Linked DNA regions of Anolis sagrei. The protein of the gene in region 1 purifies or fractionates together with the protein of each later gene. This does not show direct contact. Links are inferred from orthologs where the notes say so. Each region holds a gene or a part of one and is shown in the gene's direction. Other genes may lie near its edges.

Evidence for each region.
Region 2: the proteins of FYB1 (region 1) and LCP2 purify together in Homo sapiens (co-immunoprecipitation; 6 studies listed by BioGRID and IntAct, with this or other methods). This does not show direct contact. The link is inferred for Anolis sagrei from reciprocal best matches to the Homo sapiens genes FYB1 and LCP2.

Annotation. Positions count from the first base shown.
Region 1 is NC_090022.1:277,911,911-277,921,089, forward strand, and holds the start of FYB1 (FYN-binding protein 1), read left to right. Parts: upstream 1-4,634; 5' UTR 4,635-6,095; coding exon 6,096-6,098; intron 6,099-9,179. UniProt on the Homo sapiens protein: Acts as an adapter protein of the FYN and LCP2 signaling cascades in T-cells. May play a role in linking T-cell signaling to remodeling of the actin cytoskeleton. Modulates the expression of IL2. Involved in platelet activation.
Region 2 is NC_090022.1:104,302,560-104,312,149, forward strand, and holds the start of LCP2 (lymphocyte cytosolic protein 2), read left to right. Parts: upstream 1-5,209; 5' UTR 5,210-5,307; intron 5,308-8,241; 5' UTR 8,242-8,472; coding exon 8,473-8,550; intron 8,551-9,590. UniProt on the Homo sapiens protein: Adapter protein primarily involved in signaling pathways within T-cells, as well as other immune cells such as platelets, mast cells, and natural killer (NK) cells.

The DNA of each region.
Region 1 (9,179 bases):
TTCCAGCCCATCTTTAAATCTCTTTTGCTTTCCACCAACATTCCAGTTTCCGTTTTAGAGCTAAGAGTAAATTAACTGCTTTGGGAGAGAATTATCAGGCATTTCAGCAATGTGACCAGTCCAGTGAAGTTGATGGTAGAGAAACATCGTTTCAATGCTGGTGGTCTTTGCTTCTTCCGGAACACTGATGTTTGTGTGCCTGTCTTCCCAAGGGATTTGCAGGATTTTTCAGAGGCAACACTGATGGCAACACTGTACTTTGTTATATTTATATGTTTGCACTATTGAGTGCTTTTGTGAGCTGCCCCAAGTCTTTTCGGGGAGATGCTGGTGGGATATAAATAAATTATTATTATTATTATTATTATTATTATTATTATTATTAATGATAGACATCTTCCGTTTCATCCCCATGTTCCTCAATATTTTCAGTGTGTTCCATAGATAGATGATCCTTGAATGCTGTTTGGAAAAAGGCATATTTAGAGGGCACCTTATCTTTTTTCTTTGGAGTCTATATATGAGAGTGATCTTGATGGCTATTGGGTATCGAATTAATGGTCGGTATAGCAGTAATCAAAGCTTTTCATGGCTCTTATGAGAAGTTCATCACAGCAATCTCTGGAACATATAATTATATAATCTACGAGATGTCAATGCTTTGACCGGGGATGCTTCCATGACATCTTAAGCTGATTTTTCTGGCAGAAGAACGTATTAGTGATGACAAGGTTTTGTTCCACACATTTAGTGAGAAGTAGGATGAGAAGTGAGCTGTTTCCCACCCCATCTTTCCCTATAGTCTCTGGCCACAGGTCGAAATCTCTCCTACTCTTGCATTAAAATAATCCAGGATGATGATTTTATCCTCCATGCATATCTCAGATAGGATGTATCCAGCTGACAGTAGAATTTTTCTTTGATGTCTTCATTAGCATCTAGTGTTGGTGCATAGGCACTTATGATAATTGCCAGCTGATTTTTGGCAAGGTTACTTAGGAGGGATGAGAACCATTTCTTCCTCTGAAGAGGAGGCTGGTTTGTCTGGGCCAAGGAAGTAGGGACAGTATAATATAGGAAATTGCTATAGAGTTGCCTTAAAAATAGTTCATTGTTAGAAGAGGAAATGACAGCCTGTAAGCGGGGAAAGAACCTCTCGACTTCTCTGAAAGAATCTAAAAGAGGACCTTTTAGAAAGAAGCATTCAGGGTAATAAAGAGCATTCTAAATTCTTTAGGGATATACACCATTATATTTCCCCCATAATTAAGTTCAGGTAGGCATTCTGCCAATCTAGGAGATGATTTCTGCCCACTTCCTGGTGCCAGTCAGGCTGAAAACCACAAAGCCTTCACACCAATGAAGTCTCACATAGAAGTTCAACTAAAAATTGTAATAAGGACAACACTGTGAATGACAGCTAAGCCGAATAGTGCTGATAATAACCTGTGGGAGAAGACAAGCCAGCAACAGAGAGAAATAGCCCCACCTCTATCAGAATTACTGCATCTTTGACAGGAAACATTCCATTTTATTTTACTTTATTTTATTTTCTTATAGACCTAGAGCTGTCTTAGGGACTACTTAGGGAGAATTCTTCAGGGTTCACACACAAACCCAAACACACCAGTGACATCTTTATTTGTCCTGTTGCACACTCACCATTTCCCACAGCTATAAGAAGCTGATTTCTTCTTTGGAGGACTGAGTCCTGGATGGCAGTGTCTGGTGGAGATGGGTTGGCGGGGGGTGGGGGGGTGGGATTAAACTCTATTTCCATATTTACTCTACTCTACTTCCTCCGTGCAATTCAGGATGGTATAAATGGCCCTTTATTGACCCCTTTAGTTTATTAGTATCCTTGAGATGTAGAAATTGAAAGATATGATTGACTCAACAACACCTGGTAAAATTTATGGTGATCATAGATTTTAAGCTAAAATTCTAAACCTGCTTTTACATTATGCACATTTATACTACATTGGGTTTATGCTAAATTGTCAGAACAGGTGTCAGAACAGGTGCCCACATGACCAAGAAGAATGAGGGAGATCACACTGGACATGATCCCTCCATTTTCCCTATGCTGGAGTATCCCCCATCTTTGCCCAAAGTAGGCCAAAGGACCATATCAGATGGGGGGGGGGGTAGTATTCTAGGATGCTTTTACCCCATCTAATGGATGTAGCCCCATGTCAACCATCACATAATGTCATGTGACTTCCAGTAAAGACCATGCCGCCAAGGTGAAAGTGTCGCTGGATGCTTTCCCTACAACACAGGAGGCTTCCTGTGTTGTGCTGGCTCCAATAGAGCCAGCACGCTTCTGCCCTGTTTGGGTTATGCTTCATCACGTGATGCAGAAAGTGTGGCCCCTCACCTCCTGGCAAAATGGCACTGGTGGGGGGAAGATTTCCCATGTGATAAGGTAGATAGTTTAAAGCAAAAAATAAAATGTCACAATCTTCCTTGGAAGCCACTCTGCATCATGGGGACAGCCAGCATTCCATTCAATGTGAGTCCAAAGTTTTTGCAATTGAAGATAAGCCAAAGACTTGAAAAATATCCTAAGTGCCCCTGATGGCTTTTTGGACTGCAACACCTAGCATTCCTCACTATTAGCTATGCTGTCTAGGCCGCCTGAGAGTTGCAGTCCAATAACATCTAGAGGGCTACATGATCCCATTCTTTACAATAGATCTGATGCAGAAGTGTCAAACATGTGGCCCTCCAGGTGTTTTGGACTTCAGCTCCCAGTATTCCTGACCATTGGATAAACTGGCTAGGGCCTCAGGGAGTTGGAGGTCCAAACATCTGAAGGGGCACAAGTTTGGCACCACTGAATTCTTACAGTGGGGCAGTTGAAATCAATGGGAGAACATACCTCAAATCAGGTTGGTTTCACTGGGTATACTCCTGACTAAATCTAGATCGAGCCCATGAATTGAAGGACTTATGTTCTTTGCTACATAGCCAGATCTCCTGGTTCTTAGTTAGAGTTTTATGCTTTCCAAACTTAGATTTTGATAATGTAGGGCATTTGTTTAAATCAGGCTATCAGAGACAAACCATTGTTCAAAATCTTGTGTATCACTCAGTTACTAATGAGATCTTCCTACAGCTACTTGCAGACTATGAACAAGTTATTTTAAAACACTCCCTCAGTTCCCCATCGTGCTATTTTCTTTTGATGTGAAAGAAAATAGCATGTGTCCCACTCTCAATTAAAGGTGGCTTATAAAACAAGCAAACAAGTTTTTAAATCCTTACACTGGAGAAAAATATAACCAGATATAAACATCTGTACTGAAGACACCCCTCTAAAAGTTTAGATGAGCTGATATTTGTGTGCATGTGAGTGTATGTATTTTTCCCGGCCAATCTTTTCTGTTGATGTAGTTCATAAAGGGAAACCATATATCCATGAAATTCCTAGCAATTCTGACTACAATTCTTGGAGTCCTCGTGGACAACAAGTTAAACATGAGCCAACAATGTGATGTGGCGGCAAAAAAAGCCAATGGGATTTTGGCCTGCATCAATAGGAGCATAGTGTCTAGATCTAAGGAAGTAATGCTACCCCTCTATTCTGCTTTGGTTAGACCACATCTGGAATATTGTGTCCAATTCTGGGCACCACAATTCAAGAGAGATATTGACAAGCTGGAATGTGTCCAGAGGAGGGCGACTAAAATGATCAAGGGTCTGGAGAACAAGCCCTATGAGGAGCGGCTTAGGGAACTGGGCATGTTTAGCCTGAAGAAGAGAAGGCTGAGAGGAGATATGATAGCCATGTATAAATATGTGAGAGGAAGCCATAGGGAGGAGGGAGCAAGCTTGTTTTCTGCTTCCCTGGAGACTAGGACGCGGAACAATGGCTTCAAACTACAAGAGAGGAGATTCCATCTGAACATTAGGAAGAACTTCCTGACTGTGAGAGCCGTTCAGCAGTGGAACTCTCTGCCCCGGAGTGTGGTGGAGGCTCCTTCTTTGGAAGCTTTTAAGCAGAGGCTCAATGGCCATTTGTCAGGGGTGATTTGAATGCAATATTCCTGCTTCTTGGCAGGGGGTTGGACTGGATGGCCCTTGAGGTCTCTTCCAACTCTTTGATTCTATGATTCTATGATTCTATGATGTCCCTCAAAATGGTATTGTGTAGATTGCTTCTCTCTTACAAGATAGCTGCTGTTGGTCTACGGTGGTTTTCCAATAAACTATGTAGTAAGGAGGAAATGGTTGACTGTCCACATTGGATAATTTGAGAAGTCTTGGACTACACAAAGGCTTGTAAGCAGAAGAGGGGTTTGGACTTCAACAAAATATCTACAATGTCGAAATTGTCTTTTCTGCTGATGCTACTTTAGTAGAAGGATGTACGTCTGGCAGTGTCACTTCGGACAGAGGGATTTGTTTTCCTTGTAAAGTTTTAGTTGGTGGGATGAGCATTCTTAATAAGTATTTGCTATTTACTAGTAAGTTGACTTTGATTTATGGTGGTTCTACGAATGAATGAACTCCAAGATCCCCACTCTTCAGCAGCCTTGAGTAAGGGTTGCAAACTTAGTGGTGTGGCATGTTTGCTTAAACCAATTCACTTATAGTGAGATGTCCCTCTTTTTCCACTATCTTTCTCTTTAACAGGCATTATCACGTTTTCTGTCAAGGTTTTAGGATGGACCCTTTCCAACTCACCCTGGAGAAATGCCAGAGACTGAACCTCGGAGTTTCTCAATGCAAAGCAATTTTTGTGCCACTGAATAAGATACATTTATGGTATTATTATTCTGCATAGCTTTAATTTTCATTATTAACCACTATGTTAGTAATCACACTACACTAAAGGTAAATGTAAAGGTTTTCCCCTGACATTAAGGCCAGTTGTATCCGACTCTGAGGGGTGGTGCTCATCTCCATTTCTAAGCCGTTGTCCGTAGACACCTCCAAGGTCATGTGGCTGGCATGACTACATGGAGCACCGTTACCTTCCTGCCAAAGCGGTACCTATTGATCTACTCACATATGCATGTTTTCGAACTGCTAGGTTGGCAGAAGCTGGGGCTGACAGCAGAAGCTCATGCTGCTCCCCGGATTCAAACCTGCGACCTTATGGTCAATAAGTTTAGCAGCTCAATGGTTTAACCCATTGTGCCACCAGGGCTCCCCACACTACACTACTATTCATTAAACTTTGATAACTCCTGTATTTCCATTGTATGGAATCGTAGAATTTGTAATTTTGTGAATTCTCTGACAATGAGGTCCCAAATCATGGCAGAGGTTTGGAATGGATGGCCCTTGTCTCTTTCAACTATGATTCCTAGTTGTAATCCAGCAAAGACGTCCATTGAACTCATCAAACAGCAAATCCCAGATTCTATAACAGAGATCTATGGCAGAGAAAGTGGTATCAACTGGCTCTAAATGTGTAGTAGAGCTGCACCCTATGATTTTACTTTTGTTTCTGTGTCTTTGGCTCCTAGCACTATCAGTCAAAAGACATTGTGCAGCTATTCTATATTCTCCATGGGATTTCTGCTGAGAGAAAAAGAGGAGGGTGAGAGGAAAAGGAGGAGGAAAAGACAGGAGGATTACAAGTGAAAATGTCCAGCCCCTTAATCCTAAATGTAGGTAAATGGGTAGGCAATTGCTCAATAGAAGCCTTGTATCAATGCACTCTTTGCTGGAAAAATAGGGTGCAGGTGCTGAAATAAAATATAAATAAAGTGAAAATTACATGGGTTTTCAACATTCAAGACTGAACTGAGAATTCATAGGCAGGAAGTGTATTAATGTAATACTCTTCATTTCTGTGAATGTTCTCCTCACTCATGTGCATGGATTTCCCAATATTTCTGCCTTCTGGCCTCACAGTTCTACAGAGTATTTTGCAAGTTGCTGCTACAAGCTCTGTTAAATGACGGTTCACAATATGCAAACAATGAATGGTACTGTTAGAATTTTCCTACAAAGGCTGGATAAAAACCACTTGACACTTTGAAAATAGGAAGTTCCAGGCAAAAGGCAAAGAAAGCCTTCGTCTTGTAACACTGCACTCTTCAACAGGGTTGGGAGTGCACTAGAGAATTTCTACAGCCATGGTAAGTCCAGAAATGTTTTCATTGTTTTCACTGTTTCATGGAAACTGATAAAAAAGAAGAAACATTAAGAAGGCTGCTCTGCAAACTGCTTGAGTGACTTATGTCCACATTTCAGTTTCATATCTTTGCAAAGCCAACTGTCTAAGGCACTCAGAAACTGGATAAAATCTTTTTAAGCTTGGCAGGTGGCTTCCAGTTTGCAGCTCAGCGAGTCAAATGCGGCAGATGCCTGGTCTATGGAGAGATTGGTAATACTGGTATTTTTGAGCTTTCAAACAGATTGGACAGATGTGTTTATCAAGACTCTGGTGGGCTGTCACAGATAGCTAGGGAGCTGAATATAGCTTGATAGGTTACAAGCAGTGCTGGAGAGACTAAATTCAGTACTTATTGTAGTGTTGGGCTAGAAATTGGGAGATCCAAGTATCATTGAGCCAGTTAGGTTCTCCTGGATCAATAACTGTTTCTCAGTCTAACTAAATTTGCAGAATTGTTGCTTATAATAACATCAATATGCATAATTATGCAGATAGAACTATCGAGATCTCTAATGAAACAATGGAGAATAAACGTAATAAAATGCCCTTTAAAGCCAAGTGTTTTACCTGAGAAAGAGGATGGCAGCGGCAAACCTCATTGGAATAAATCTTGACAAGAAAACCCTATGATAGAGTCACCAAAAGTTGACAAGACATACAGCAACAACAAACATCAACATCAACACTGCTGGACTACTTGGCAGATTCAAATAACCATCAAGATTTAGAGTTAGAAGAGAACTTGGACATCATTTAGCCCAATACAAGATGAGTTTTACTTATCTAGTATTCCAAAATACTCCAAATTCCAAAATTGTCCACATGGCTTGCTGGGATAATAACAGCATTGCTTTCTGATGGTTCAATGTACATGTTGCACAATATTTTTAAAAATAATGTATAGAATTACCTTCAGACTATGTGCATAATGTTTATGTGAAACATAAGTGGATTTTATGTTTAAATTTGGGTCTCATCTCATTATGTAAATATACACAAATATAGATATACCAGGAAAAAACTCTGAAATCCAAAACACTTCTGGTTCCAAGCATTTCAGATAAGGGATACTCATACTCAACCCATGTTACTTAATGTGGTGATCTGTGTACTGGTGGCTAGCAGCAAATTTTTCAGGAAAGAAAACAATGGTTGTAACTGATAGGTACAAAAATCCTCAACAAACCCTGACAGGTTAGGGGGGGAAACTGCTTCCATATGAGAAAGCTTTCAAAGTACTAATCCACACTTCTGCTTCATGCAAGGATCATTTAACTACAGTTATCCCTCCATATTTGTGGGTTTGATTATTCATTAGTTTGATCAAAAATGTTCTCTCTAAGAATCTCTAGATTCCCCAATGAGACCCTTTGGTCAACTTTCTCCAGCCATGCTGGAGCACCTAGGAAATCAAAGAGAGAGCACCTCTTTAGTAATTTCTGGATCCTCCAATGTGGCCCTTTCCACACAGTCCTATATCCCAGAATATCAAGGCAGAAAATCCCACAATATCTTCTTTGAACTGGGTTATCTGAGTCCACACTCAAATAATGAGAGATTTCCTGCCTTGATATTCTGGGACATAGGGCTGTGTGGAAGGGCCCCATAATTCTCTTGTCAGCTTCCAGAAGACCTAGAAATTCCTAGAAAGATGTTCTCTCAAGTAAAAAAAAAACCATTTTCTTTATTCATATACCTGTGCCCCTAACCACAGCTGCCTGTAAAATGACCTGTTTCTCTCTCCTCCTCCCACTTCCCCCTTTGTCCTCAATTTACTTCAGCTGCTGCAAACTGAGTTCAAAATGTTAAATCAATTTGCAGTAACAAACTCATAAAATGGGGCTAGATTCAGTGGCAAACATCTAGCCTCAGTCACCCACAGAACCGGCCGGCTCCCATCAAATGACATTGTGCTGGGTCTGTGGGTGCAGAGGAGCAGGACCAGTGTGCTGCCATTGCCCTGGCAACATGGGAGGTTTCCCTGATTGCCCAATCTATGGGGAAAGCCTTGCACTCCACACTTTCCTCCATGTGATTGCCCTCCCAGCAAGGCAGGCAATGTGAGGTATGGGGGTGCCAAATTCTCCATGCCTCACTGCGAAACAGACCATTCCCCCCTTCTGCTGCTGGCCGTCTGATAAGGTGGTTAGTTAATTCAACAGAGCAAAGCAGTGGGACACAGAACCTTGTTCTTACACAAAAACAAAATGTCTGGCATCTTCTACCTCAGTGTTTTTCCTCATTTATCACTCTTATTTATTTATTTATTTGTTTATTTATTTTGGGCACTTCTACCCCATCCTTCTCAATCCCCTAGGGGGGACTCAGGGCAGATTACAACCGGCACAATTCGATGCCAACAATTCAGCAGATAAAATACATAACAACAATAACCACAATAGTTAAAACATTCAGTTAATACAATAACAACTAAAAAGCCAATCTAGTGGCTTCATTCTTGGCCACAGGCATCCCAGTTTCCATCTCTGACATGCTGGAGGGCATGCAATGCAAGAACATACAATAAGACATGCCTAAGACATGTACATTTTATATTAGTGTTGCAGACTAAGTGAAAGGAAAAGCATGTGCGTGCCACTGCTTTTGAAGTGCTTGTGGCCAAAAAAAGAAAAGAGGGAGGGAGGGAGGGAGGGAGGAAGGAAGCTGACTGTGGGTTTTTTTCTGCCCTTATCATCCATGTCCACCATAGTCTGTAGTCAGTAGGATACAAAGCATGTGACCAGTTGCCAGGCATTGAAACAGCACATTGCAAACACGATTGTGGCTGGGGCAGTTCATGGTCCAACGAATGGCATGCAAAATGTATGCATATCCTAATTCAATGATTGTGAACCTTTTAGAAATGGGGTGCCCAAACTGGAAGCAGGGAGTTGGGCGAGTGAGATGGCGAGTGGGAAGGGGGAGAGTGGGGAGGGGGGAATCCAGAGAGCAGACAAGCAGGGGAGCAGGCAAGCGGGTGAGCAAACAAGGGATGGGTGATTGGTTAATAATAATAATAAAACTTTATTTATACCCGCCACCA
Region 2 (9,590 bases), about 170 Mb from region 1:
ACCACATCTGGAATACTGTGTCCAATTCTTGGCACCACAATTGAAAGGAGATATTGACAAGCTGGAATGTGTTCAGGGGAGGGCGACTAAAATGATCAAGGGTCTGGAGAACAAACCCTGTGAAGAGTGGCTTAAAGAGCTGGGCATGTTTAGCCTGAAAAAGAGAAGGCTGAGAGGAGACATGATAGCCATGTATAAATATGTGAGAGGAAGTCATAGGGAGAAGGAAGCAAGCTTGTTTTCTGCTGCCCTGGAGACTAGGATGCGGAGCAATGGCTTCAAACTACAAGGAAGGAGATTCCATCTGAACATTAGGAAGAACTTCCTAACTGTGAGAGCTATTTAGCAGTGGAACTCTCTGCCCTGGAGTTTGGTGGAGGCTCCTTCTTTGGAGGCTTTTAAATAGAGATTTGATGGCCATCTGTCGGGGGTGCTTTGAATACAATTTTCCTGCTTCTTGGCAGGGGGTTGGATTGGATGGCCCATGAGGTCCCTTCCAACTCTGATTCTATGATCATATGATTCTACTTGTGCTCCCTCTGCTGCTAGACCTTAACTCAAAATGCTATTCTTATGTCAAAGTGAAACCTAGGACAAACAACTGCTCTTAACTCAAAATGCTCTTAAGTAGCGGTTCCACTGTATAACATGTCTTTTTTTCTATATTTTTTGCAAATCATGTGTCTCTTAAGAAGGCACAGGCTATGCGTGTGCAAATGTAGAATATCAAGAAACAAGTAGACTTCTGTCCCCATGCTGGATTGATGACTGCCTTTGGCTTTGGCTAGAAGCCTCTATTCTCCAGTACAAACAAGAGAGAAAGGACCACAGAGGCAATCTGGAGTCTCTAAGTGACTGTTTGTTGCTGCTATTTTGGGCCTTTGTTGTATTTTGGTACTTTGCTCTTTACAGAACTGACTTATTGTGAGTCTGGTTATAAAAGCAGGTCTCTTGAGGGGGTGGGCTGCTGCCAAAGGAATTAACACAAAAAAGGAGTCACCTCTTTGGATGAGTCACTTGAGGTACATATGGATGAGGGCTTGTCCTTCTGCCTGACAGACTCAAGGATTTCTTACCTAGATTCATACAGGAGATGATCCCAAGGGCCATTCAGTTCAATTGCCCATCTTACAGAAGACATGATCAAAATTTTCCCAACTGATGGCCATCCATCCTCTGTTTAAAAACCTCAAGAGAAGGAGACCCCACCACACTCTAAGGCAGTGTATTGTACTGTCATACAACTCTAACAATCAGGACATTTTTTTTCAAATGTTTAAGTGGAATTTCTTTTTCTGCAATTTGATGGGTGGTCTAGGCTAGGAACTGGATGAGGGTGTGCATCTCAAATAGTTCTGCTGGATGTCTCAGTGGTTTTCAATAACATTGGTCATAGTATAATTCTGGGCCACCTCACTGGAATGGAATTTGAAGTTACTTTTTATAGTAGCTCCAATCCTTCCTGGTGGTGTTGACTGAATCCTGTTCACAGACACCTGCCTCTTGGCTTGCAGGTTTTCTCAAGGTTCTGTTTTCTCCCTCAGGCTATCTAAGAATATTCATGAAACTGCTGGGAGAAGTCTTCTGGTTTTGGAGTGTAGTGTCATCACTATGCAGATGGCACCCTCTTCTATTACTCCTTTCCACCTTAATTCAAACAGGTGACCTTGAGTCTAATCCAGTAATTGACTTGGAGAAATCTTGACAAGACAATCAAAGGCAGATCAAGGAATAGGAATTCAATCTGTGTTAAATGGAGTTACACTCCCACTGAAGAGAGACACAAGTTTGCAATTTGGGGGACGCTTTTGGATTCAGTTTTGAATCTGGAGACCCATTTCTGTGGTGGCCAGAAGTGCTTTCACATTTGTACACCCACTAAGCTAATTTCTTGAGCTACCTAATCTGACTATAGTGCTACATTCCTTAGTTACACTCCATTTGGACTCTGTAACATGTATGTGGGCAGCCCTTGAAGAGTGCTTGGAAACTTTTGCTAATTCAAAGAGCTGCAGCATGTTAACTGGAGCAGGCTACGGGTACCATACTTTTCCCATTACAACAACTCCACTGGCTGCCAGTTTGTTTCTGGGCACAATTCAAAAAGCTGGTTATGACCTATAAAGTCCTATGGGGCTCAGGTCTAGGCTATTTATCAGACTGTATCTCCACATTCAACAATGTTAGTCTGGAATATCAATCTACAAAGACTACTTGTAGAGTATAACTAAAAGAATTTTCATTTATTGATTGTGTCAGAAGTGTACTGATAATACTTGTACCTCTGATGTCGCTGTAAGATGGTCCTCCATTGTGCATGTGGCAGGACTCAGACTGCATTGCTATAAGTGGTCTGTGGTTTCCTCTTCTCCGCACTCGCATGTCGTGGACTCCACTTTGTAGCCCAGGTATTTTGGTGTGCTGCAATGCTCCAGTGGGATTCCTTCCCAAGTAATCCTCGGAGCTTAAGATGCTTGTCTCTTCTTATAATGAAAAGCACACATCTGCATTTTAGATGGATTAGGCATCAGCTGGTTTTCCCTGTAATAGACCACAAGAGCACCTAAGGATTAAGAGGGCTTCTGTTCAGCCATTTCAAAGCTCCCTGCTTGAGTGGTGATGGCACGATTGTAAGCATAGATGAAACTGAAAGAATGAAGCTTGTAGGCAAAGCCTACTTCCTCAAATGCCTGGCGTGAGGTGCCTCCCTATATGAGCCTGCATAAGCCCTGATATCATCAAGTCTGACACTTCCTTGAATCACAAGCACAAAGGGCCTTTTCACTGACTGTCCCTAGACTCCTCTCTTGTTGTTTTTCCATTAACAGGTGGAAAACTTTTTTAAATATTTTGACAGGTTTTTAATACAATTTTTTTTAAAGTTTGAGCTAAATAGTGCTATATTTAAATGCAACTGTATTTAAATAATTTTTGACTTTTAAATGTATTTTATTGAGTATAATTTGAAACTTTTATAATACTGAAATTAGTTTAGTTCTATCTTATTGTTCATTTGTTGTATGTTTCAAGTAAAATAAAAACCAGGGGCATAAACTAGAAAACAACATATTCATTTGGTTACATTTCTTAGCCATTTACTAGAACAAATGTAGTTATAAAACATTGCTGCTATAGAAATAGAGATAAGTCTTCTTTTTGCAACCTTATTATTATTATTATTAATTATTATTATTCCTATTCCTATTCCTCCTTCCCCTGTATCTCAAGGAGATATCTGACAGTTTGTACTTTCAAAGTGACAAAGCTGATCTTTCTAGTCTCTCATAAAACCTAACATGGTCTGCACATTTCTTGTTTTGTCTGTTTGTTTGTTTTTTAGGTAATACATCTTTCAGCATGTCTGCTTGGAAATTGTAAATGTTGTAGTCTATTTTTTTTACAAATTCTACTTTGAAATGCATAACTTGGAATTAAATCCTAGCTATTTAAAATGGCTTCGTACAATTGTTTATCTAAGTTACAAACCTCAACCCACTTCTAACCCTGTCTTCTGGGAAACAAGTCTAATTAGTTTCATCTAGGTATATCTTCAAGTAAACATGTCTAAATCCTATGCTTAATAACAGTGTTGCACAATTTCACAAGCTAAAAAAACAAAGTGTTGCATTGCTTTCTATGGAAGTGACCTGAGGCCTAAGCTACAGATGACAATTCATGTCTTCAGAAGGTTATCCCAAAGTAAGTCAGGCATATTGATTTCAGAGTTACACTATGCCAGTACCTTGTTGTTAACTGACATTGACTCAAGTTCAAGTTATGGTGACCCTATAAATGAGAAACCCTCAAGTCACCCTATCACCAGCAGCCCTACTCAGAGCTTTCAGACTGAGGGCTATGACTTCCTTGGCTGAGCCTCTTCACCTGGAATGCAGTCTTTATCTTTTGCTATTGCCTTCTCTCTCATCAACCAGCTCTGTCTTTTCTAGTGAGACATGTCTTCACACATTGTGTCCAAAGTGCAATAGTCTCCGTTTAGTCATCTTGTATTTGCCAGTTTTCCCCACAATCTTTTGCTGCCTTGTCTTTCAGTTGTAGTATATGTGATGCCAAATTGAACACTAACATTTTTTTTATTCTGCTCTGAAGCCTACTTTTTCATCCCAAGCATCTATGCTTAACAACAAATCCTGTTTAGGTGTGTAGTCAATTTCTTTCTGGATTCTAGTACACATTCTTTTAAATTTCTTTTTCAGCATCTGAAGATGGAACACAAACTTGGATTATATTTAAATCATATCAATTCAGGTTTTCCTGAAATTGTATTGATACTATTTGGTCATACTTTGCATTATATTCTTTGACAACTTTTGCTGCATCTCTTCTCACTATGCATTTCACCCCATGACACAGCACCATCCAAGAGAGCCAAAGAACATCAGCAGCAGGGAGCTTGGAGGAAGAGGCAGTGTCTGTTTACTGCAGGCTGCCTTTGACCTGAGTTCCTGGTGACTGGCTCCTTACAGACTCAGGCCCTGACTGCCTGGCTGAAGCAAGGCCCAGCAGAAACACCTGCTGGGGGATAAAAGGATGATGTTGCTGGGGGCCCAGTCACACAGCACTATCCAAGAGAGCCAAAGAAGATCTTAAGATCATGACAGGGGAAGTTGAGGGCCTAGTAGGGTGTCTCGTGATGTTGCTATTATAATGATAGACTGTAATGCTGCTACTTGACCAAGAGACTTGAGAAACACCACTGTGCAAGTTTGACGAGTGACAGAAATGCAGTTTAACATCTTATCACACCACAGTTAGAAATGAAGCAGTTAATTGTGTGTGGGGTTATTATGTTTTACATTGTATTTATATGTCTATTGTGGCTAGTGATTTTATGTTATGTTTTATATAGTTTGTATAATGAGGCATTGAATTTTTGCCTAGATGACTGCTGTATAGTGCTCTGGGTCCCCCGAGGGATGAAAAAAGCAAGATAGAAATGAAGTAAATAAATTAATAATAACAATTTTGTCTTATATTTCCATTTTCTGAGTAAAGCTATGCAATTATCTGATGTAAAATGTCCAATTCCTGCCCACTTTTGCTCACTCATCCCAAGTATCGCAATGTTTATATCTTTCATTTCTTGTTTTACTATGTCTAGCTGCTGCTGATTCACGTTTCCCACATTTCATACTCCTATAATATGTGTTGTGCAGTTTTGGAATTTCCTTTCACTTCTTAGCACATCAGTTAACAGAAAATCTTTCTGACTTGAGTCCAGTTGCATCATTAACCACAGCGCTCTTTAAAGTTGATAATTCCAGAAGTTAGTTGAGTGCCTTCCAAGCTGTGAGTATAATTTTCTAGCACTATCTCTTGTTTCCTTCTTCATTGTTTTATCATAGGGCTGTCATGGTAAAAGGTGTTGGAAAGGGATTTATGGTGCCTCCTTCTGTGCAATGCAAACAAGCACTATCTATGGTGCCACTGGCCTTATTTCTGGCAGATATTCCACAGATGTGAACCCCCACTATTGCTGCTTCCCAATCATTAATTCATATTTTAGAAGGTGTATGAATAGAGTTTTGTAAAATTAAAATTTAAAACATTATAGTTTGTAGAATTCCACAGCTGATATGACCAGGAGCATTATAACATTTGAAAAAGCCTGTACAAGGGTGGAAATGGAGAACAGTCTTCTCCTTGCAGTTCTCAATTCTTTGAAGTACTTCCTTGAATTTGTTTTGTCCTAGCTTTTGGAAGCAGTAGTATTTTTGTTTTATATTAACATTGCATTGCTTTTGCACATTTTCATCCTAACCTCCACCTAGAAAAGGTTGTGAACAAATCCCAAATGTATATGTGAAAAATTGAGTTTGGCTGCACTCTTGTGGTAATATAGAGAGTGTGCTTTAATTTCTTTCCCTACAGAATTACATGAGTTCTATGTTTATTTGGAATAAAAAGAAACCATGTAAGTAAAACAATTGTATTTTGCTTTTAAAAAAAAAAAAGCAAAAGCAAATTATAGTCATACAGTTTATAGACCTTAAGTCATTTTTGTAATTACAGTTAACAGAAAAGGCATAAATAACACAATCCAAACAAAACATAGCAAAATAATCAAAGCAATCTCAATTAATCATATCTTACAAGGAACCAGACTGTAATTGATGGTGAAGATACATTAAAAATGCCTGGCTTTACTAATAATCCCATTCCAGCATCCTTTTAAGATATTTGCTTACCACATTTGGAAATGCCTCTTTTCTGCAGTATGCCATAGAAAAACATTTGATGTTTCTTCATTCAGTTTGTTTTCATTTGATCAGCACATTCTCTCCCAATAGTTTTGTTTTTTGACTAATTTCCAATTTTCATTCAGATGGAGTAAAAGACAAGATGGAGTGATTGCATCATTTTAATATTAAAAGGGCACCCACAGAAAGGAGGGATCAAGTTTGTTCTCTAGTGTCCCAGAGGATAGGATGATTTTGCCCTGTTTTGCCACTTTTAATCATGGCAAGGATGGGGCCTGCCATGCACCATAACATGATGCACGGAGAAACACCTAAAGGTGCTTTTTTTCTCCACTCTGGGGAGGAAAGTGTAGTTTGCATAGCTCCAACTGAACTACCTGCACTTTCCTCCCCTTTTTGCCATGTGATAGCAGAAAGAGCAGCGGAGCAATGTGTGTTGCTACCTTTTCTATCATCTGATGAGGGGATGTGATGAGGGGAGGGGGGAGGGTGCACAGAGTGCCACATGCCACCCTGCACACCTTCCCTTTAACTGGCAATTGCTGGTGCAATGACAAGGTCCGAAAGGGCCATGTGAAAAGGTCCCAATGCTACAGGACTATCTATTTTGATTAAACATTGGAACAAAATTTGGCAATGGAATCAATTTCCTAGAAAGGTAATGGAATCAGTTTCACTTTACATCTTCAAAAAGAGGCTGGACAAGTGATGCTGGAAATGGTCTAGTTACAGTTCCTGCACTGCCTGGGGAATTGGAGATTATCTCCTCTGCAACGCCTTCCAGCTCAATGTTTGTATTTGAAAAGATGTAAGCCATAATTCTTTTGGTTGCTTGAGTCAACCTTTGAAAGATGTGTCAACCCAATTAGATCAGATTGCTTCAAAGGATATACTCCAGTCTCTTTCCTTGTAAGTGAAGGCAAAAACTAAGCACACCGATAGTCTATCAAAATAATCCCACCTAATTTTCATTAAGGAGACTTGATTGCTTAAAAATGGATTATTATTAGGGTTCCCAACACTTGGGAAGCATGCTTTTAAGCTTTTTCTATTTTTACAAAATCTTTCTATTATCTGAAAAAGGCTGCATTGTTTTCACTTGTGAGCCACATTACCAGAGAACAGTGCAACGGCTGAATTCACACAGTGCACACAGAGAGAAGCAAGAGTGAGACTGGCAGATATTTAACCATTCTCCAAATAATCCTACTTCTTTCTAGTACATTTGTTGTTAGTCAAATCCTGTCCCTGGCCAATTTTCTTTAGTGATACTTTCTAAACATCACAGTTTGCTTATTTTACCCCCCTGCTCCACCAATAGCCCAATGTCAAACAAGAAGTGATGTCATGTCATGTGTGGGTCAATCCCAGGAACACACTCAGAACAGTTTCTTATCCCTACTGTATCCATTCCCCTGGAATTAAATTTCCCTGGTGTTCATATAGATGACACTTTTCTATGGATATGCATAAGTTTATGTAAGCCAGTTATGCTTTAAGAATATATGATAAGGCACAATTATTTGTAATACATCTGGCATACCTGAATTCGTGATGTAAGTTCAGACCCAGTTTAAAAGTCTGTTTCAAATAAATTTTTCTCAGCATTTCTGTGTGTGCGTGTGTGGTCTGTACCCTATTTCCATGTAAAAGTTCTATATACAATGCACATTGGAAAACAAGTGATCATATATTTGAACGAACTGTTCAATTTCTATATATTTTCTACTTTTTTCTCCCTTACTGGTGGTTCATATTGGTTGCTTTTATCTTTCTAGTGATTTTTTAAAAACAGAAACCCAAAGTCCTGGCAGGCTGGTGCTGTCCCCCTTCTACCAGCTAAGGGACTTCACCATTTTGCTCTAGTGTACTGGCTTCTGAAAGTGTTGACCACCAGCTTTCTTTCAAATCTTGTGCAGAAAATAGCCTTACCTAACTATATCATTTCCTCCTCTCCATTATCAACCATCTTTTTTTGCAACTGTGGGATTGAGCTGCTCTGTTTCCTTGTTTACATATTTAGATCCACAAGAAGGAAGTGGTAAAGCTGACTAACTAGCGACAGGTTTTCTGAGAAAGAAGCCAAACGGTTTGGTTCACACCGGAAGAAGTTGCTGCCTTCAGTTTATTCACAGTTCTGAAGAAAGCCAAACTGTAGGCATTAAGTGTATCTACTACTTTTGGTTGCTACTGAGGCGAGTCCTGTGACTGGGTTGGTTTGACTGGCATGAATACGTCTGTAACTGGAACCTAAATGGATTCTCGATACACTCCCTATCGCTCTGAGGTGGTCCGGTGGTCCCCAGATGACTTGGCAGACTACTTTAAGAAGGTGAGTTTCACTTCATTTCAGCAGTTCGATTTTTACCCCACTCCTTATTATTTCCACTTGTGGGCTTTTGCTTTCATAACTTTAGAAGTTAGTTTCATTTTTGACATAATTTGCAACGTTTTCTGAATGTGATAAATTTTTTAGAAAATGGTTTCTAGCCTCCTGTCTTAAACTAAGTCTTTTCTCCTTTTCATTTGTTGGAAGTCTTAAATCTTTTTAGTGGCACAACGAGATAGTTATGTTAGTTTTATTATAGAAATTCATAAAGAAATCTGGTAGCACTTCTGAAACTAACTGGGAAAAGGAAATTTGTAGCATAAGCTTTTGTTATATAAAGCCCAGATCATCAGATGTAAAAACTGAAAAAAATTCTTCCAGAATGGCTTACTTGGTTTCTCAAAGTCCAAGAGATTTAGGGAGCTGTAGTCCTATAAAATAACACCCTGGACTCTCAGAGTAATGGGTTTTCCCACTTCTTTTTTTTTTTTTTGCTTGCCCTGATCTCCCATATTGAGGGATATAAGATCTTCCAAAACAGTTAGAGGAAGGGAAAGTAGAATCACTGAAATTCAGGAAACTTTGCCTTATGCATATACCACCAGTTTAGAGTGCAATCCATTCTTCATTTCATATTTTCTCAGAACCTTCTTGTCCTATCTAATATAGGTCTGGAAAAACTATTATAGATAAAGACTAGATTGCTTTACTCTTCCATACAGACAGGGAGAGGAGTTTAATACCCAGATACCAGTCACTGGGTAAAAAATAGCAAATGTTTGTCAAAGATTAAGAGACACCAAAGAGATATGTTTTATTTATTTTGTAATGATTGTTTTTAACTGTTCTATAATGTTTTGAGCATTGAATTTTTGCTACTGTAAACCACTTTGAGTTGCCCGAGGGCTGAGGAAAGCGGTATATAAATATAGTATATATATATATAAGATTTCACCCTCATAGAATCATAGAATCAAAGAGTTGGAAGAGACCTCAAGGGCCATCCAGTCCAACCCCCTGCCAAGAAGCAGGAATATTGCATT